2 linked regions of the Macaca mulatta genome follow. The protein of the gene in region 1 purifies or fractionates together with the protein of each later gene. This does not show direct contact. Links are inferred from orthologs where the notes say so. Each region holds a gene or a part of one and is shown on either strand. Other genes may lie near its edges.

The links.
Region 2: the proteins of NCBP2 (region 1) and PHAX purify together in Homo sapiens (affinity purification with mass spectrometry; 5 studies listed by BioGRID and IntAct, with this or other methods). This does not show direct contact. The link is inferred for Macaca mulatta from reciprocal best matches to the Homo sapiens genes NCBP2 and PHAX.

Annotation. Positions count from the first base shown.
Region 1 is NC_133407.1:2,486,730-2,497,157, reverse strand, and holds the start of NCBP2 (nuclear cap-binding protein subunit 2), read left to right. Parts: upstream 1-4,813; 5' UTR 4,814-4,861; coding exon 4,862-4,939; exon of another isoform or gene 4,940-5,965; intron 5,966-7,145; exon of another isoform or gene 7,146-7,295; intron 7,296-7,888; coding exon 7,889-8,070; exon of another isoform or gene 8,071-8,109; intron 8,110-10,301; coding exon 10,302-10,428. Other genes in the region: PIGZ (GPI alpha-1,2-mannosyltransferase 4), read left to right, coding at 1-1,168; protein NCBP2AS2, read right to left, coding at 4,346-4,645. UniProt on the Homo sapiens protein: Component of the cap-binding complex (CBC), which binds co-transcriptionally to the 5' cap of pre-mRNAs and is involved in various processes such as pre-mRNA splicing, translation regulation, nonsense-mediated mRNA decay, RNA-mediated gene silencing (RNAi) by microRNAs (miRNAs) and mRNA export.
Region 2 is NC_133411.1:135,551,960-135,562,550, forward strand, and holds the start of PHAX (phosphorylated adapter RNA export protein), read left to right. Parts: upstream 1-3,511; 5' UTR 3,512-3,536; coding exon 3,537-3,632; intron 3,633-5,999; coding exon 6,000-6,613; intron 6,614-10,591. UniProt on the Homo sapiens protein: A phosphoprotein adapter involved in the XPO1-mediated U snRNA export from the nucleus.

The sequences.
Region 1 (10,428 bases):
GGTATCCCCCCATGTAATGTGGGGCCCTACATGCAAGGAGCCTGTGCCGGGTCCATGGTGGCACAGCTGGCTTCTTGGAGGCATCGTGACTGCTGGCTTCTTCAACCGGCCCACCTTTCTGGCCTTTGCTGTGGTCCCTCTCTACCTCTGGGGCACTCGTGGAGCCACAAACCCTGGCTTGAAGTCCCTGACCCGGGAGGCCCTGGTGCTGCTCCCTGGGGCGGCCCTCACAGCAGTGGTGTTTGTGGCCATGGACAGCTGGTATTTCTCCAGCTCCGCTACATCCAGGACCCTTGTCCTTACACCTGTCAACTTCTTGCACTACAACCTGAATCCCCAAAACCTGGCGAGGCATGGCACGCATGTGCGGCTCACTCACCTGGCAGTCAATGGCTTCCTGCTCTTTGGGGTACTGCATGCCCAGGCCCTGCAGGCCGCGTGGCAACAGCTGCAAGCTGGCCTCCAGGCCTCTTTACAAATGGGCCTCCTGAGGGCACTGGGTGCCTGGAGCCTGCTGTCCAGCCCCAGGTCCTATCTCCTTCTCCTTTACTTCATGCCCCTAGCCCTGCTGTCTGCCTTTAGCCACCAGGAGGCTCGGTTCCTGATTCCCCTCCTGGTCCCCCTAGTCCTGCTTTGTAGTCCGCAGACCCAACCTGTGCCTTGGAAGGGCACCGTGGTCCTCTTCAATGCCCTCGGTGCCTTCTTCTTCGGCTGCCTGCATCAGGGGGGCCTGGTGCCTGGCCTGGAGTACCTGGAGCAGGTGGTCCATGCCCCTGTGCTCCCAAGCGCACCCACCCACTACACACTCCTCTTCACTCACACCTACATGCCCCCCCGGCACCTCCTCCACCTCCCAGGCCTGGGGGCACCAGTGGAGGTGGTGGACATGGGTGGGACTGAGGACTGGGTCCTGTGCCAAGCCCTGAAAAGCTTTACCAGACAACCAGCCTGCCAAGTGGCTGGTGGGCCATGGCTCTGCCGCGTCTTTGTGGTGACCCCTGGCACCACCAGGGGTGCCGTGGAGAAGTGCAGCTTCCCCTTCAAGAATGAAACACTTGTATTTCCCCATCTAACCCTGGAGGATCCACCAGCCCTGTCCTCCTTGCTGAGTGGGGCTTGGAGGGACCACCTCAGTCTTCACATCGTGGAGCTGGGGGAAGAAACCTGACAATATGACAGGGCACCCACCGCCCACGATTCAGCCATAGAAGTTGCTGCCCCACCTTCTACTTGGGTAGCTGGGCTGGGACGCGGGGACAGGGCCCAGGTTCTCCTTCACGACTCCCACTGCTGCCTCTCCTGGGCACGGCTGTTCTGCCTTCTGGGTGAGCTGGCACCCCTCTCCCTGAGACCAAAGATCTGACCTGTCAGTCCTGATGTCAAGGTCCCCAAAGAACCAGGTGTAAGTGATGACACCTGTCGGTTCCTGCCCTACTGCTTCCAGCCACTGTGATGTTTGAAACATGTAATAGTACCTGGTTGGGAAAAAGAATGAACTGCCAGTGACATTCCCCAGCGACCTCTCCCAAACTTCCCATGATGCCTTGCCCTTGCTGTCATGACAACCTCTGGCTTCCTGAGACCGATCTGCCTATCCAAATAATGTGGAAGTCAGTGTGATGAAGTATAGAGAACAGGTGGCCCAGATCCAGGGGACCCAACTTCTAGCCCCTTGGTCTGTCACCCCCTCGCTGTGTGATCTTGAGAAAGCCCCTTCCACTCTCCCACCCCACTTCCCAGTCTGTTGGGATCAGAGGATCTTTGAGGTGTCTGCCAGCTAACATCGTGTCATTCCTGGAATCCACAGTACACGTCCCCCGTCCTCGACAGGCACAGCTCTCACAAAGCTCTTTAAGCATGGAAGTGGGAGTTGTGTCGTACTTCATGGCCCTCTGATGCCTGCTGTCTCAGTGTTTGCAAACAAGTAATGTTTGAAATATATAATTGCACCTGGAGATTTTCTCCCTACTTTCTTTTACTCCTGTTCCTGAGAGGTGGTGGGAAACTCTCCAGCCATTTCTGCACCTTGTCCTTAAGAGTCATTCTCCTGACTGGGCGTGGTGGCTCACACCTGTAATCCCAGTACTTTGAGAGGCCAAGGCGGGCAGATCTCGAGGTCAGGAGTTGAGACCAGCCTGGCCAACATGGTGAAACCCTGTCTCTACTAAAAATACAAAAATTAGCTGGGTGTGGTGGCGGCGCCTGTGGTCCCAGCTGCTCAGGAGGCTGAGGCAGGAGAATGGCTTGAACCCAGGAGGCGGAGGTTGCAGTGAGCCGAGATCGCGCCACTCACTCCCGCCTGGGAGACACAGCGAGACGGTCTTGGGGGGAAAAAAAAAAAGTCATTCTCCCAGATTAGGGAGCCAGATGTTCTCCCTCCTTAGAAGAACTGTGGGTCTCAAGCCCTCCCATCCTGCCCCAGAGAGCAGGGAACACACCATGCTCAGCTAGTGTCTGGTTACCAGCCTCAATTTTTCCGATGGCTTCAAGCTTCTAGATTGCATGATTATCTGTGTTGCCTAATTAGAAATGATCAGATCTGGGTGTGGTGGCTCACACCAGTAATCCCAGCACTTTGGGAGGCAGAAGCAGGAGAACTGCTTGAGACCAGGAGTTCAGGACCAGCCTGGGAAACAAAATGCAATGCCATTTCAACCATAAAACACAAAACAAAACAAAATTGTGGCTGGGCACGGTGGCTCATGCCTGTAATCCCAGCACTTTGGGAGGCTGAGGCAGGCAGATCACAAGGTCAGGAGATCAAGACCATCCTGACCAACATGGTGAAACTCCATTTCTACTAAAATACAAAAAACTAGCCAGGCATGGTGGCGCACATCTGTAATCCCAGCTGCTCGGGAGGATGAGGCAGGGGAATCACTTGAACCCGGGAGGTGGACGTTGCAGTGAGCCGAGATCACGCCACTGCACTCCAGCCTGGTGACAAAGTAAGACTCTGTCTCAAAAACAAAAACAAAAAAACCTGTTTTTAATTAGCTGCGCATAGTGTCATGGGCCTGTAATCCCAGCTACTTGGGAGACCCAGGGAGGAAGCTCGATCACTTGGCCCAATAGGTCGAGGTTGCAGTGACAGCTAGTATCATGCCACTGCACTCCAGCCTGGGCAAGAGTGAGGCCCTGTCTCAAAATAATAAATAAATAAATCAGAAATTTAGCTAGGAGCTTCAAATGACAAGACATTTGTATATACAGTGGATTTCCTAATCATGGGTCCACTAACTTGCTGGACCATAGTCTTAGTTTCGTATGCCTGACCCTCTAAAATGAGGGATGAGTCCAGGTAGCTCATTCCATGGCAGGCAGCAGTCTTTTTTTATTTTTGAGACAGGTTCTCGCTATGCTGCCCAGGCTGGTCTCATCTCAGGCTCATGCGATCCTCCTTCCTCTGCAGTGGCTTGGATTAGACACAACTGCCACCACGCCTGCTCCTAGGCAGTAGTCTTAATGCCTGATGATGGGGGGTTGGGGAAGGAAGGAAAGTATCAGGGTAAATCTTGCAGAGCTGTGTTAAGGACTTAGGCCCTGGAATCAAATGCCTCTGCTCACATCCCACTCTGCAAGACTTTGGGCAACTTAAGCAGCAGCCTCTGTTTCCATCGGAGTGGCTCTTGCCTCTAATCCCAGCATTTTGGGAGGCTGAGGCAGGACGATCACTCGGACCCAAGAGTTCGAGACTACCCCATCTCTACAAAAAAATCCAAAAAGTAATCTGCTTGCTCATGCGGATGTGGTTGTAAGGAGTAAGCGAAATAACACGCAGAGTGCAATGAGCAAGTCCCAGCACAAAATACTCATTTCATAAAATACGTGTTTATTATTGCCATAGGCCTACAGTCCCCGGTATTCTCAATATATCTTGCCTGAGAAGTATCACACTCATGCCTATTAACCAGCTCATACATTTTTTTAATCAAAAGAATTTGGCAGTTGTAGGGTTGTCTTTTCATTCACATCGTCCCTGGAATTAAGTGTCCTGCTACACCAGTGCAGATTCAGCAGCATCTGTCAAGAGTGTCAGTTCCATCTGCAGAGGAAAGGCTCTCTGGCTTCGGTCCGTGGCTCTCCGCGGGTGCGGTGTCTGGACCCAGCCTATCTTCATCTCTGTTAGGCTTCGGGGTCTTTCTCCACACGGTGTCTTGTCCAATCAAAGGACTTCAGCGGAGCCTGCGGTCTGGCCTAGGCTCTTCTGCGTGGGATGTCTGCAGGCCAACAATCCGAGTCGGGGTTCGAAGCCGCGCGCAGTGCCCGGAACGACCCCTCCACGTCGAGGCCAGTGTAGAGCCCGGAAGGCAAAGTAAAGGCCTCGGCCCCGCACAGCCCAGGCTTAAATGTTTGCGCCAGGGCCCCTCTGGCTACCTGGTGGTGGCCCCGAACGGCCACGGAGGCCGCGGCGTAGCTCCTGGGTGAAGGTGTCTCTGAATCGCCCAGCGCGGCGGCACAGGGAGCCTGCGGGGCCAGCCGCGAGGTCCTGCAGGCGGCGGGCCGCGTCCTGGCCCCGCAGCTGGGCCTGCAGCAGAGCGAAGGCCGTGAGCTGCGCCGCACGTCGGATAGGCCGAGACTCGGACAGGCGTTCCACCAGCTGCGGGCTGTGCAGCAGGGCCGCCAGCAGCCGCCGAAGCACCATCTTCCCCAAGCGCCCGGGAATCCGACCTCGCCGCCCTAGTCTTCCGCCCGGCGGCGCCCGACCCGGACGTCATCTGCGCCCGCGCAGCTTGATGACGACACTGCCGCCCTCGGATTGGGTCCAATGAGATGCGCGCTTCCGCGCGTTTCCGCTTCCGCCACGGCAGACGCCACCTCGTGCCGGGAATCGCCGCGTCCTCGTCCGCTTCTCTGCGCTATGTCGGGTGGCCTCCTGAAGGCGCTGCGCAGCGACTCCTACGTGGAGCTGAGCCAGTACCGGGACCAGCACTTCCGGGTGAGGGAGGCCGGGCCGCGAGAGGGGAAGGCCCTGGGCCAGAACGCTGAGAAACGGTTTGCTCTTGTCTCATTGTGTCGCCTCCCGTTCTGCTGCAATCCCCAAACGCCAAGTGGGGCCCCGGTGCCGGCTGGGGAGGCAGGGAGCGGGTGCTGGGGGGGCGCTTGGACATCACTGAAGCCGCTGGCTCTGGAAGACAGGGCATTTGAGGCTCGCTTTCCTGTTCCCTCCAGCCGCTCCCTGCACCCGAGCCGGTGCCGAGAGGCCTGAGCGCTGATGGTAGTGGCGGCTCCCGTTTCCAGGTTGTACCTCGCAGATGGCTGCGTAACAAGGGCGGGGTGCCCTTCTCTCTCCCAGAGTGTGCAGAGGCGCCTTCTTGATGCAGATTCGGGGCTTTTTACGTTCTTTTTTATTTTTTTTATTTATTTTATTTATTTTTTTTTTTTTTGAGACGGAGTCTCGCTCTGTAGCCCAGGCTGGAGTGCAGTGGCCGGGTCTCAGCTCACTGCAAGCTCCGCCTCCCGGGTTTATGCCATTCTCCTGCCTCAGCCTCCCGAGTAGCTGGGACTACAGGCGCCCACCACCTCGCCCGGCTAGTTTTTCTGTATTTCTTAGTAGAGACGGGGTTTCACTGTGTTAGCCAGGATGGTCTCCATCTCCTGACCTCGTGATCCGCCCATCTCGGCCTCCCAAAGTGCTGGGATTACAGGTGTGAGCCACCGCGCCCGGCCTACGTTCTTTTTTAAATCGGCGAAGCAGTGCCCTTCTCTGGGAGGATGGTCTTAGGGAAGCTGTACGCGGTGCGTGGGAGACACAAGTGAAGTCCTCACTCCGCCCTCGGGGAGGCTTCGGAGTGGGGAGGGGGACCCGCCAAGCTGGGCACTTTGAGGGTGTTTGGATGTGAAGATCGGAGAATTGCTGGATTTCAGAAGAGAGAAATTTTTAGTCCGGACTATATCACAGTATGTTTTGTGGAAAAAGGGGAGGCCGCAGATATACAAAGTAGGCTTTTCAGTATCAGCAAAGGTAGGGATGGAATACGGTTGAGGGGTGGCGGCGCGGGACTCATTAACCCGGTTATTTAGTAAACATTTGTTGAGTGCTGTCACCAAAGCCTTGTGCTAAACCCTGGGGGGAAGGGAAGACAGTTTCTGTACTCTGCGAGCTCATAATCCCCTGTAGTGTGGATTATCAAAGAATCTAAGGTGGAAGTGAGTTAAAAGAGAGGCTGTGAGAATTCAGAAAAAGGGGAGAAATCCCCTTGTGACTGGGAAATGAGGGGGCGCATATAGCAGAGGTCAGTGTGGAGAACGTGTGAAATATGTTACTAGAGTAGGGAAAAGGAAACTTTGACGCCAAATTAGGGAAGCTCTGAAATTTATTCAGTCGAGGCCGGGCACGGTGACTCATGCCTGTAATCCCAGCACTTTGGGAGGCTGAGGCGGGTGGATCACGAGGTTAGGAGATCGAGACCAGACTGGCCGAGATGGTGAAACCCCATCCCTACTAAAAATACAAAAATTAGCCGGGCGTGGTGGCGGCGCCTGTAATCCCAGCTACTCGGAAGGCTGAGGCAGGAGAATTGCTTGATCCCGGAAGGTGGAGGTTGCGGTGAGCCAAGATCGCGCCACCGCACTCCAGCCTGGGCAACAGAGCGAGATTCCTACTTAAAAAAAAAAAAAAAAAAAAAATTCGGTCAATTTATTTTATTTTTTGAGACAGAATCTCGCTCTATTGCCTAGGCTGAAGTGCAGTGGCGCAATCACGGCTCATGCAGCCTCAACCTCCTGAGCCCAAGTGATCCTCCCCACCTCAGCCTCCTGAGAAGCTGGGACCACAGGCTCTCACACTACATCCGGCTAATTTTTTGTAGAGACAGGGTCTCCCTGAGTTGCTCAGGCCGGTCTCAAACTCTGGGACTCAAGCGATCCACCAGCCTGGGCTTCCCAAAGTGCTGGGATTACAGACGTGAACCACTGACCCCGGCCAGTCCAGGTTTTAGATGCTTAAGTGCCAGGCATGATTTGCACTTTTTTTGAGACGGGGTCTGGCTCTGTCACCCAGGCTGGAGTGCAGTAGCACGATCTCGGCTCACTGCAAGCTCCGCCTCCCGGGTTCACGCCATTCTCCTGGCGAGCTGGGACTACAGGCCCCGCCACCACGCCCGGCTAATATTTTTGTTTTTGTTTTTGTTTTTGTTTTTTAGTAGAGACGGGGTTTCACCGTGTTAGCCAGGATGGTCTCGATCTCCTGACCTCGTGATCCGCTCGCCTCGGCCTCCCAAAGTGCTGGGATTACAGGCGTGAGCCGCTGTGCGCGACCCTGATGAGCCATTTTGGATCCAGGGATTTGTCAGGTGTGTTGGATGAAGCCCAGTTATATTCTTATTTCTGGCTTCATCGTGTCATCCCAGTTTGGAAGCCCATTAGGAAAGTGAGCTCTGTTTTGTTTTTAGTGATCACTACATTTTTTTCCTCAATTCAGAAAAAATACATGAGCATGTAAAGCATCAGAGTTGTTGCTTTAAACAGTCTCTATGGGGTTATTAAAAGGGGACTCTCTGGAAATCCACTTATTTCTCACTACAGAGTATAAAAGGGCCCTTTGTCATACATGGGTCAAGGTCCAGAGTTTAACCTTGGTTGAAAGGATGCACTGCTGAGAAGATGGCGTGTGCAGGGAAAAAAGCCGCTTGTGTGGCAGTCTGGCGTAGGGTGACTTTGCTGTATGCGGTATAACTTTTGAGCCTTGTCTCTACTAAGAGTCTGGACTTTGCATAAGTGCTTCACAGGATGTGAACATCTCCCTTTTTTTGAGCAAGGGATTTGTGGTAGGCTGGGATGAGAGAATTTGATTTCCAAATCAGAATTAATGAATGTTTCTACCATACTTAGAAATACTATTTAAGCAAGGCTCTGAAGTTGCTTTTGTCTCTCTTTGAAATTCTAGGGTGACAATGAAGAACAAGAAAAATTACTGAAGAAAAGCTGTACGTTATATGTTGGAAATCTTTCTTTTTACACAACCGAAGAACAAATCTACGAACTCTTCAGCAAAAGTGGTGACATAAAGAAAATCATTATGGGTCTGGATAAAATGAAGAAAACAGCATGTGGATTCTGTTTTGTGGAGTATCCTTCCTGTGGATGGAATGTGGCTGCTGAACTGGGGTAGAGCTGAGAATAGTAGCTCATAATCCTCCCTGCACTTGCCCCTACGTTTTCCCTCGTCTCCCTCCTACCTTCTGTCCAGTGTCACTGCTCTTTTTTTTTTTTGAGACAGAGTCTGGCTCTGTCGCCCAGGCTGGAGCGCAGTGGCCGGATCTGAGCTCACTGCAAGCTCCGCCTCCCGAGCTTACACCATTCTCCTGCCTCAGCCTCCGGAGTAGCTAGGACTGCAGGCGCCCGCCACGTCGCCCGGCTAGTTTTTGTATTTTTTTTTTTTTTTAGTAGAGACGGGGTTTCAACGTGTTAGCCAGGATGGTCTCGATCTCCTGACCTCATGATCCGCCCATCTCGGCCTCCCAAAGTGCTGGGATTACAGGCTTGAGCCACCGCGCCCGGCCGTCACTGCTCTTATACTATAAAGCTGACACTAGTTACATTCTCTCCTGAAATCCATGCTTTATGGTTGTTTAAGAAAAAGTTTTTCAGGCCGGGCGCGGTGGCTCAAGCCTGTAATCCCAGCACTTTGGGAGGCCGAGACGGGCGGATCACGAGGTCAGGAGATCGAGACCATCCTGGCTAACACGGCGAAACCCCGTCTCTACTAAAAAATACAAAAAAAACTAGCCGGGTGAGGTGGCGGGCGCCTGTAGTCCCAGCTACTCGGGAGGCTGAGGCAGGAGAATGGCGTGAACCCGGGAGGCGGAGCTTGCAGTGAGCTGAGATCTGGCCACTGCACTCCAGCCTGGGCGACAGAGCGAGACTCCGTCTCCAAAAAAAAAAGAAAAAGTTTTTCAAGAATGTTTGCCCTTCATTAAAAAAAAAAAAAAAATTCCAAAGAGCACAGTGAAAATAAAAAAACCTTGTACTGTTCTAAACCCCTAATTCCCTTTGCCAGAGGCAGTTACCAGTTTCTTGAGCATCTCTCAAGAAGTAACCTGTGGGTGTGCAGTAGTGTACTTCATGTGCTGTTTTTAAAATCATTTATTATTTATTTATTGTTCCATTTCAGCACATGTAGGTCTGTTTTCAAAATAGCCGTATAGCTGGGCATGGTGGCTCGTATTTGTAGTGCCAGCTACTCAGGAGGCTGAGGCTGGAGGATCAGTTGAGCCCAAGGGTCCAAGGCTACACTGAGTTGTACTGTGCTCCTGCCAGGGTGACAGGGCAAGACCCCATCTTTAAAGAAAAAAATGTTTTAATAGCTATATCGTAATTCATTACATAGGTGTGTATAAGCTGATTGTATAGGTACAAACCAAAACTATTTACTTGTGATCATTTTCTTACTCAGACTCTTTTAAGCATTGTACCTCCTGGATTTATTCTGTGTTCTTTTTACTCTCTGTTTTGGTCATTCAATTTAGTATTCTGAGAAATTTTGCAGACCCAATCTAATGTATCTTTTGAGTTTTTTCCTGTGTCCTGAATTACATTTGTTTCAGATGAAATTTTTCCTTAAGTGTCTGGTGATCCCTGGATTTCTGCTCATAATTAAGGACAAGAATGCTGACTCACTGGACCCAGGCAGGGCATCTCTCCCAGATTGCTGGCTTGCCTTGGGGATATGTGGGTTTCCCAAATGCTAGAATGAAAAGAGATTTTATTTTGGCCTGCTAACATCAAAGACACTAGTTCCTCCAGATGGTTTATTCACAACACCATTGTCTTATTTTTATTTGTCTGGGATTAAATGTCCTCCCCTTTAATTAAAGGGAGCTCTCTCTGATGAAGTAGGTTTGGGGACTGCTACCCTGGTGATACCTTGAGTCTTTCCTTTAGTGAAACGCAGCGCAATTCCACATGCACTGTGACCCTCTCTTTATTAAGGTGCCCTGGAATATATGGCACCTAACTTGAATATATAGCACTTGTTTCTTGGATAAGAAGTGTACAGTGGTCCAAACCTGCACTGAATTATCTTATATTTTGCAAACCAAATACGGAGATGATGGGACCAAAAATTATCAACAGGAATGTCCAACAAATCTGATCAGTGCAGCCACGGAGACGTGTCATGTTTGACTCTCTGTGCTTCCAAACCATGGCAGACAGGCCTGTGCAAGCTGAACTGCTGTCTCTGAACTACATCTGATTAGATTAGCTCTTGTACTTTTTAACAATGCAGCTTCATTTACATGTTGTTCCCCTATTTCCAGAAATGTTTGGAAAAATGGTAGTGTTCCTTAATACTTAAGATATTACTCACGTGCAGATGCCGAAAATGCCATGCGGTACATAAATGGAACACGTCTGGATGACCGAATCATTCGCACAGACTGGGACGCAGGCTTTAAGGAGGGCAGGCAGTACGGCCGTGGGCGA
Region 2 (10,591 bases), on another chromosome or scaffold:
CATCGGTAATCTCTATCAACAACCCTGCTGCTGTCTTCCATCTACACGGAGGACCACAGTGCTAATTTTTCTAATTTTAATTCTCAGACTTCTTTTGTGTGTGTTTTTTTTGTTTTGTTTTGTTTTTTGAGGCAGAGTCTCACTCTGTCGCCAGGTTGGAGTACAGTGGCGCAATCTCAGCTCACCACAACCTCCACCTCCCAGGTTCAAGTGATTCGCCTGCCTCAGCCTCCTGAGTAGCTGGGACTACAGGTACGCACCATCACACCCAGCTAATTTTTGTATTTTTAGTAGAGACAGGGTTTCACCACGTTGGCCAGGATGGTCTCGATTTCCTGACCTTGTGATCCACCCACCTCAGCCTCCCAAAGTGCTGGGATTACAGGCATTAGCCACCGCACCCAGCTAATTCTCAGACATTTTAACTGACTCTCATCACTTTCTATCAGCCAACAAAGATTCTTTGTCTGCATATTCCAAAACCACATTATTTATTCTTTTCTCTTCCATTCACTTCCACGAAATTAAAACACATAGACAGATGCACTGAGGATTAGGAGCAATACATAGTGTCCTCAAGGAGTGTTGGCTTCCCTCTCTTCAAGTCAAGAAGAGAAGTGTGGCCATCCTTCTAAACCAATTCTGGCTGGCTGGGCACAGTGGCTCATACCTGTGATCCCAGAACTTTGGGAGGCCAAGGTGGAAGGATCACTTAGTGATCAGGAGTTCGAGACCAGCCTGGCCAACACGGTGAAACCCCATCTCTACTAAAAATACAAAAATTAGCCAGATGTGGTGGTGCACATCTGAAGGTCCAGCTACTTGGGAGGCTGAGCCTGGAGAATCGCTTAAACCCAGGATGTGGAGGTTGCAGAGCACCAAGATCGTGCCATTCCATTCCAGCCTGGGGGACAGAGCAAGACCCTGTCTCAAAAAATAACTAAATAAGCCGATTCTGGGAAAATAGGCACCAGCAACTGCTCACACTGAAAATAGGGATTGCATCCTTTTTCTACCTTGTTTTTTCAAAACTCCTGTTAGCCCTGCTTAACAGGAGTTCAGGAAAAATCAGAAATGATGAATTGTAATGAGGCTGAGCAGGAAGAGACAGAATTAAATGAATCATATATGAAAGCACTTTGAAAACTGCAAAGCCCTATAGAAATTAAAATGTAGTGGCTAAACTCAGGACACCTTAAAACAGTTCTGTATTAAAAGTGGCAGAGGAACCAGGTACTGTGGCTCACGCCTGTAGTCCCAGCACTTTGAGAGACCAAGGAGGGCAAATCAAGAGTCAGGGCGATCAGGAGTTCGAGACCAGCCTGACCAACATGGTCAAGTGCCATCTCTACTAAAAATACAAAAATTAGCCGAGCCTGGTGGTGTATGCCTGTATTCCCAGCTATTTGGGAGACTGAGGGATGAGAATGACTTGAACCCGGGAGGCAGAGGCTGCAGTGAGCCGAGATTTTGCCACTGCACTCCAGCCTGGGAGACAGAGCAAACTTGTCTCAAAAAGAAGAAAGAAAGAATTTAATAGACAGGAGGCCACCCACGCCGTGTGGGAGACAGAGTTATTACTCAAATCAATCTCTTGGAGAATTCAGGGACTAGTGTTTTCCAAAGATAGTTTGGGGAAGGGATGGAATGGCTAAGCAATGGGTTCTTGCTGCTTACTGGCTGGGGATGCAGTCATTGGGGTGTGGGAAATTGTCCTCAAGCAGGTCAATAGCTTCTGTGTGGGACCACAGAAGCGGTTAGAGCTTCAGGTGGAACCATTGGTAGTCATACATGCAAAATACCTGAAAAGATATCTCAAAATGCCAATCTTAGGGTCTACAATAGTGATGTTATCTGGAAGAGTAATTGGAAAAGTTGCGTACCTTGTGACCTCTGGGATAATGACTGGCAACGGTTTATGTCTACACCTTAGCAGAATTCAGCCTCCTTTATCCTTCTACCCTTGTGATTTCTTATTAGCTTTACAAAGGCGGTTGGCTTTTGGGGAAGGGTTATTATCATTTAAACTATAAACTAAATATCTCCCAAAGTTACACTGACTGGCCCAAGCCCAGGAATAATTAAGGGCAGCTTGAAGGCTAAAAGCAAAATAGGGGTTAGCTAGATCAGATCTCTCCCGCTGCCGTAATTTTCTCCCTGTTACAATTTTTGCAAAGGCGATTCCAAGATAATCTTTAAAGAATGGGGTGGGTTGAGGGAAGGGCCTTCCAGGCCGAGTGAACAGCAAATGCAGAGGGCTTGCCTGAGGAACAACAGGTTCAGCGCGCCAGCGGCTGGGCAGGGGGACACACCAGGACCAGTGACCTGGTGCCCAGTCCACATAACCTTGTTTGCCATTGTAAAAAGTAAAATAGAGGTTCCTCTTCAAAGACTTTCCTCCCCATCTAATTAGGAATAAATAGTAACCTCTCTTAAAAGCAAAATTTATTCAAAGACCTGTGCTAACATTCTTAAATATCTGCTAGCTATAATAAAATAAATGTAGTTTATGTTCTTAGCTCCCACAATTTAGCCTAAATTTTTTGCCCTGGCATGCTTATACTAGTCCAAGCAAGCATTAGGTCATAGCCTGTTCCTCTTCCTTATTTAAAAGTGTTTTTGTCTTTCTCCACATTCCACAAGGTACTTCTTCCTTCCTTTGTTCTCCTCTACCTTTGCCTCTTTTAAAAAGTTCCAAGTTGCTAGCCAATCCCGAGGAATACAAAATGTGAGGTCCTGTTCCAGCCAATAAAAACCAGCCACAGCAGTAAGGTAAACGCCTCAGCTTACAAATGACCCTGTCTCCTTTGTTCAGTGTACTCTCCTGGCAAAACTGCTGGTGGGCGTACCCTTTCTGCAGAAAGTAAAAATGGCCTTACTCAATAAATTAAATTTATGTTCAAGTGCTATTTCTTTATGACACCGAAAAACAAACATTTCAAACACCATGCTGAGAACTCAGTCCTTGTTTTGGGGAGGGGTGCACTTGGAAGATTCCAGCTAAGGTACAATCGTCCCTCGGTATCTGCCTGTCATTGTTTTCAGGACCCCCACAGATACCAACATAGGCCATGCTCGAGCCCCTTATATTATGTGGTGGTGCACAGTGTGTCCTTCCCATCCGCAGGTTTGGCATCTGTGGATAGGGAGTGGATACGGAGGGCGGACTATACCGCTTGAAAGGCTTCCCTGGAAGCAATATGTAGAGTGGGTAGCGGAGGAGCAAGAATGGAAGCAAGGAGGCTTGTCCAGAGCATACAGGCGAAGGATGTACGGCCAAGGGGGGAATCCCAGACGACCGCGATTCGTGACATATTTTTGTTTGCACGAAAATAAAGTTTGAAAGAAAAGTGTTGGGGGAACAAGGGATTCATTTTCCCACGGTAGTTGAAATGCAATGGCTACGCCTCAAGCCGCTGCAACATGCTGGCCTCCGTGCGGGGGCGCCCAAACAGGCGCGCCGCCGGGCCTTCCGGCCGCACCGCCGGAAGTGCTCTCCTGACCCTCCGCTGCGCAGCTCATCGCACCGCAGGAAGATGGCGTTGGAGGTTGGCGACATGGAAGATGGGCAGCTTTCCGACTCGGATTCCGACATGACGGTCGCACCCAGCGACAGGACGCTGCAATTGCCGGTGAGTGTGAAAGGAGGGTGGGTTATCGTGGCTGGGCGCGCCGAGCCTGGGCCGCGGAAAGCGCGCAGGCAGCGGTGAGGGTGAGGGGTGAGAGCTAGGAGCCCGGTCCGGACCGGGCTGCTCGGTCAGTGGCGGCAGAAATGGCGAGCAGGCGTCCCCCGGGCGGGCTCACGGAGCCCGGGCTGCAGGGGCCGGCAGCGAGGGGCGGAGGCGGCGGCAGCGGCTGGGCGTGCGAGCCCCAACCTGGCGGCTCCCTGCGAGGTCGGGCGCGCGAGCCCTGGCGCCTCCTGGAGGCTGGCTTGGCGGCTGTCTCTTGGCGGTCTCACCTCCACCTACCGCTCTTTGTTTTTTTCTAAACTTAGGGCTTCCCCACTCCAGCGCCGCTAGGTGACCATTAAGGGGCAGATTTTGCCAGATGTGTAGCATCTGGGGACATCGGCCTGAAACAGCCTGTGGTGCTCCTTTTCTCCCTGAGACAGAGACTGAGGCCCAGGAATGAAGTTTATCAGAGTTCACTTAAAGAGCTGGTTTTCCTTGTTTCCACCGAACCTAGCTTTGTCATGCGGTACCATGGCACTAGGTTTTTGTGGTAGCTTCTCTGGTTTTGTTTGTTGTTTTAAGACAGAGCCTCACTCTGTCACCCAGGCTGGAGTGTAGTGGCGCAGTCTTGGCTCACTGCAACCTCCGCCTCCCGGGTGCAAGCGATTCTCCTGCCTCAGCCTCCCGAGTAGCTGGGATTACAGGGGCCTGCGGCCACGCCCGGCTAATTTTTATATTTTTGGTAGACAAGGAGTTTCACCATGTTGGCCAGGCTGGTCTCGAACTCCTGCCTCAAGTGATCCACCCGCCTTGGGCTCCTGAAGTGCTGGAATTACAGGCGTGAGCCACCGCGCCCAGCCTAGTTTTTGTATTTTTATTAGAGACGGGGATTCTCCATGTTGGCCATGGCTGGTCTTGAACTCCTGACCTCAAGTGATCCACCTGCCTCGGCCTCCCAAAGTGCTGTGATTAGAGGCGCGAGCCACCGCGCCGGGCCCAGCTTCCCTGCTTTCTAAACGGTAATTTGTCTTGACTGCCTTAGTAGGTAGCAACCTCTTTGAGGGGGCTTTGGTGCCAGATTGCCTGTGTTCAGATCCTGGGGCCACCGATGTGTGACCTACAGCAGGTTTATTTAGCCTAACTGCTTTTTGTCTCCATCTATGGAATTGGCATGATGTTCCACTGATAGGGTTATTGCAAGGATTCTATGGAGCATACAGTGCGCGGTAATGCCTGAAAAGTGTTATCTCTGATCATTATTTGAAGATAGTGGGAGATAGATCCTCCCTACTTGCGTTTCCAGCGTAGTAGGAGTTTTAACAAATACAAATACTTGCTTTTGCATATAAATGTTTAGGAAATTAGTACCAAGATATTTTGTTTTTCAATCTCAGGTTGTTTTTACATAAATTGACCCATGACTTGGTAAATAAACTTAATGCTGTGGACTGTGGGGTTTTAAAAATATGCCCAGGCCGGGTGCGGTGGCTCACGCCCGTAATCCCAGCACTTTGGGAGGCCGAGGCAGGTGGATCACGAGGTCAGGAGATTGAGACCATCCTGGCTAACACAGTGAAACCCCGTCTCTACTAAAAATACAAAAAAATTAGCCGGGCGTGGTGGCAGGCACCTGTAGTCCCAGCTACTTGGGAGGCTGAGGCAGGAGAATGGCCTGAACCCGGGAGACAAAGCTTGCAGTGAGCCAAGATCGCACCACTGCACTCCAGCCTGGGTGACAGTGCGAGACTCCCTCTAAAAAAAAAAAAAAAAAAAAAACATGCCCAGCCTAGGCAATATGGCAGAACCCCATCTCTACAAAAAATGCAAAAAAAAAAAAAAATTAGCTGGTTATGGTGAGGGTTGCCTGTAGTCGCAGTCCCTCAGGAGGCTGAGGTAGGAGGATTGCTTGAACCTGGGAGGTTGAGGCTGCGGTGAGCCATGATTGCTCCACTGCACTCCAGCCTGGGCCACAGAACAAAACTTTGTCTCAAAAAAAAAAAGTAACAATTATTATGTATGTCATTTTAAAACATTCTGACAATAACTGAAAAGTTTGAAATCTTTTAAAGGTGACAAGAACTTTGGTAATATAGTAAAAGGATATCTTAGAACAAAGTGCTGCATTAGTTGTAAAGATAAGAATTTGTGGCTTTTAAATTGGCGAATTCCATGTGGAACTTAGAAAAGTAAGGATTTGATTGGTCTCAGACTTGTCTTTGAAGATCAGTTCCTTTTGGAATGGCGCGGTTGAATCTCTAAATTTTTAAAAATTAGGTAGGTGGAGTTTATGTGTTTTGTGAAATGGATTGTGTTTCTTTTCACTTGCAGAAAGTGCTAGGTGGCGACAGTGCTACGAGGGCCTTCCAGAACACAGCAACGACATGTGCGCCAGTATCACATTATCGAGCTGTTGAAAGCGTGGATTCAAGTGAAGAGAGTTTTTCTGATTCAGATGATGATAGCTGTCTTTGGAAACGCAAACGACAGAAATGTTTTAACCCTCCTCCCAAACCAGAGCCTTTTCAGTTTGGCCAGAGCAGTCAGAAACCACCTGTTGCTGGAGGAAAGAAGATTAACAACATATGGGGTGCTGTGCTGCAGGAACAGAATCAAGATGCAGTGGCCACTGAACTTGGTATCTTGGGAATGGAGGGCACTATTGACAGAAGCAGGCAATCCGAGACCTACAATTATTTGCTTGCTAAGAAACTTAGGAGGGAATCTCAAGAGCATACAAAAGATCTAGACAAGGAACTAGATGAATATATGCACGGTGGCAAAAAAATGGGATCAAAGGAAGAGGAAAATGGGCAAGGTCATCTCAAAAGGAAACGACCTGTCAAAGACAGGCTGGGGAACAGACCAGAAATGAACTATAAAGGTCGATATGAGATCACAGAGGAAGATTCTCAAGAGAAAGTGGCTGATGAAATTTCATTCAGGTGAACATTTGAATTACAAATAAGTACTTGACCAGATGGCTTCTATTTACAGGAAATAAATGCCAAATACTTTAATGATATGTTCCCCTCTTTTTTTTTTTTTTTGAGATTTTTTTTTCTTTTTCTTTTTCCTTTTTTCTTTTTTCTTTTTGTTTTTTTTGAGACAGCGTCTTGCTCTGTCACCCATGCTGGAGTGCAGTTAGTTGCTCACTGCAACCTCCGCCTCCTGGCTCAAGGGATTCTCCCACCTCAGCCTCCTGAATAGCTGGGACCACAGACACGCACCCCCACACCCAACTATTCTTTGTATTTTTAGTAGAGACAGGGTCTTACCATGTTGTCCAAGCTACTCTCGAACTCCAGAGCTCAAGGGATCCACCCGCCTTCGCCTCTCAAAGTGCTGGGATTACAGGCGTGAGCCAAGAGCTGGCCTAATTTATTTTTTTTTGGAGGGGAGAGGATCTCACTCTGTTGCCCAGGCTGGAGTGCAGTGCTACAATCACACCTCACTGGAGCCTAGAATTCTTGGGCTGAAGGGATTCTTCCACCTCAGCTTCCTAAGTAGCTGGGACTACAGACTCAGGCCATGATGCCTGGCTAATTTAAAAAAAAAAAAAAAAAAGATGGCCAGGCACGGTGCCTCACGCTTGTAATCCCAGCACTTTGGGAGGCCAAGGTGGGTGGATCATGAGGTCAGGAGTTTGAGACCAGCCTGGCCAAAACAGTGAAACCCCGTCTCTACTAAAAATACAAAAATTAGCTGGGCATGGTGGTGGACACCTATAATCCCAGCTACTTGGGAGGCTGAGGCAGGAGAATTGCTTGAACCTGAGAGGCAGAGGTTGCAGTGAGTCGAGATTGTGTTACTGCACTCCAGGGTAGGCAACAGAGCTAGACTCCATCTCAAAAAAAAAAAAAAAAAATTAGGAGTTTCACTATGTTGCCCAGGCTGGTGTCAAACTCTTGGGTGCAAGCAGTCCTCCCACATTGGTCTCCCAAAGTGCTGGGATTATATGCATGAGCCACTGCGCTGTCCGCAGATTTTTTTGTTTTTGTTTTTTAAGAGACGATCTTGCTCTGGTCACTCAACTGGAGTGCAGTAGCACAATCATAGCTCACTGAAGCTGAACTCCTGGGCTCAAGCAATCCTGCCTCAGCTTTCCAGATTGCTGGGATTATAGGTATGAGCCACTGTGCCTGACTTTTTTTGAGGCTTTTTCTTTAAGGAACTGGGGTAATTTGGTTATATGAATACATTTGTATTGTATTTTTCAGTTTGTTTTTTTGGTTTGTTTTTTTAGACAGTCTTGTTCTGTCACCCAGGCTGGAGTGCAGTGGTGTTATCTTGGCTCACTGCAACCTCCCCTCCCGAGTTCAAGCAATTCTCGTGTCTCAGCCACCTGGGTAACCTGGATTATAGGCATTCACCACCACATTCAAATACTTTTTTTTGTTTTGTTTTGTTTTTGTTTTTTGTGTTTTTAGTAGAGATGGGGTTTCAGTATGTTGGCCGGGCTGGTCTTGAACTCCTGGCTTCAAGTGATTTGCCTGCCTTGGCCTCCCAGAGTGCTGGGATTACAGGCATGAGCTGCACACCAGCTGTATTTTCTTAAATTTGAACAAGCCTGATAGAATAATTTTGCAGACTTTTATGAACTGTTAAACAACTCGTTGCATTTAGTGCCATAGAGCTTTTTAAATAAAGCATATCTTTTTAAATCATGAGTTGTTTTTGTTTGTTTAGTGTTTTCAAGAAATTATCCCTTTTTTCTTAACTTTGAGGTATAATTTACAGATAATAATATTCACCCATTTCTAGTGTTAATTTTTTTAGGAAACATATCAAGTTGTATAACCATCACCTTTGAAACATTTCCGTCACCCAGTAAGATCCCTTATGTCCCCATGCCAATTTACAGTTAATCCCTGTTCTCATCCCAGATAACTGCTAATCTACTTTCTATCTGTATAAATTTGCCTTTTCTGGTATTTCATATAAATGGTGTCATGTAGTATGTAATCTCGTGCTTTGCTTCTGTCACCTGATGTTATGTTTTTGTTTTTTTGTTGTGTGTGTGTGTGTGTGTGTGTGGTTTGTTTATTTGAGACAGAGTGTCACACTGTTGCCCAGGCTGGAGTGCAGTGTCATGATCTCAGCTCACTGCAACCTCCGCCTCCCGGGTTCAAGCAGTTCTTGTGCCTCAGCCTCGTGAGTAGCTGGGATTACAGGCATGTGCTACAACACCCAGCTAATTTTTATATTTCTTAGTAGAGACAGGGTTTTGACATGTTGGCCAGGCTGGTCTCAAACTGCAGACCTCAGGTCATCCGCCCACCTCGGCCTCCCAAAGTGGTGGGATTAGAGGCGTGAGCCACTGTGACTGGCCAGTGTTATGTTTTTGAGATTGATCCGTGGTGTAGCAGGAGTCAATACATTTTTATTGTGTGTGTATATATGCATATATTCATATTGATTATTCTACTTTTTGGCTATTATGAATAATGCTGTTATGAACCTTCACATCCAGATCTTTAAACATATATTTTCATATCTTTGTTTTGTTTTGTTTTAGATGGAGTCTCGCTCTGTCGCCCAGGTTGGAGTGCAGTGGCACGATCTCAGCTCACTGCAACCTCCACCTCCTGGGTTCAACCAATTCTCCTGCCTCAGCCTCCCTAGTAGCTGGGATTAGAGGCGTGTGCACCACGCCCAGCTAATTTTTTTTTTTTTTTTTTTTTTTTTTTGTATTTTAGTAGAGACAGGGTTTCACCATGTTGACCAGGCTGGTCTCAAACTTGTAACCTCAGATGATCCACCCTCTTCAGCCTCCCAAAGTGTTGGGATTGCAGGCGTGAGCCACCTCACCTGGCCATATTTTCATTTCTTTTGGGTAAATGTCCAGAAGTAGAATTGCTTGGTGTATGGTAAATTTACAATTCATGTATTTTTACCAAGTTCAGATTTTGAATTAACATTTTCATTAGCTCTAAATCACTAATGAACAGTGTCACAAATTTGAAAACAGGTATGGTTCAAGAGTAATGCAACTGGTAGGAAAACAAGTATTTACTTTCCAGGCAAACCTATCTGAACACCAGTACTTGATTTTTAAAATACTGGGGAAGTTTGGAATTTGAGTGCTGGAAAGGAACTTAGAGATGTTGTAAACCAAAACCTTCATTTTACAGATTAATATTAGACCTGGAACTAAACCCTGATCCTCATGTTCCTAGTGTCTATCTCTCTTTCCACAAAAATACACTGCCTCCCGTTGAGAAGAAACAAAGGATGCCAAGTCTGAATTCTTTTTTTTTTTTTTTTTTTTTTGAGACGGAGTTTCGCTCTTGTTGCCCGGGCTGGAGTGCAGTGGTGCAATCTCAACTCACTGCAACCTCTGCCTCAGGGTTCAAGCAGTTCTCCTGCCTCAGCCTCCCGAGTAGCTGGGATTACAGGCATGCGCCACCGCACCCAGCTAATTTTGTATTTTTTGTAGAGACAGGGTTTCTCCACGTTAGGCTGTTCTCTCAAACTCCCGACCTCAGGTGATCTGCCCACCTCAGCCTCCCAAAGTGCTGGGATTACAGGCATGAGCCATGGCACCCAGCTGAATTCTTGATCTGTTGAGAGTGTGAGCTTTGACACTGGAAGAATTACTTAGGCTACCTATGTTTCTAAAATCTCAATGACAAAATGAAAATGTACATTCTTTTTTTTTTTTTTCCGAGATGGAGTTTTGCTCTTGTTCCCCAGGCTGGAGTGCAATGGCGCGATCTCAGCTCACCGCAACCTCTGCCTCCCAGGTTCAAGCAATTCTGCCTCAGCCTCCCGAGTAGCTGGGATTACAGGCATGCGCCACCAGGCCTGGCTACTTTTTTTTTGTATTTTTAGTGGAAACGGGGTTACTCCATGTTGGTCAGGCTGGTCTCGAACTCCTCACCTCAGATATCTGCCCAGCTCGGCCTCCCAAAGTGCTGGGA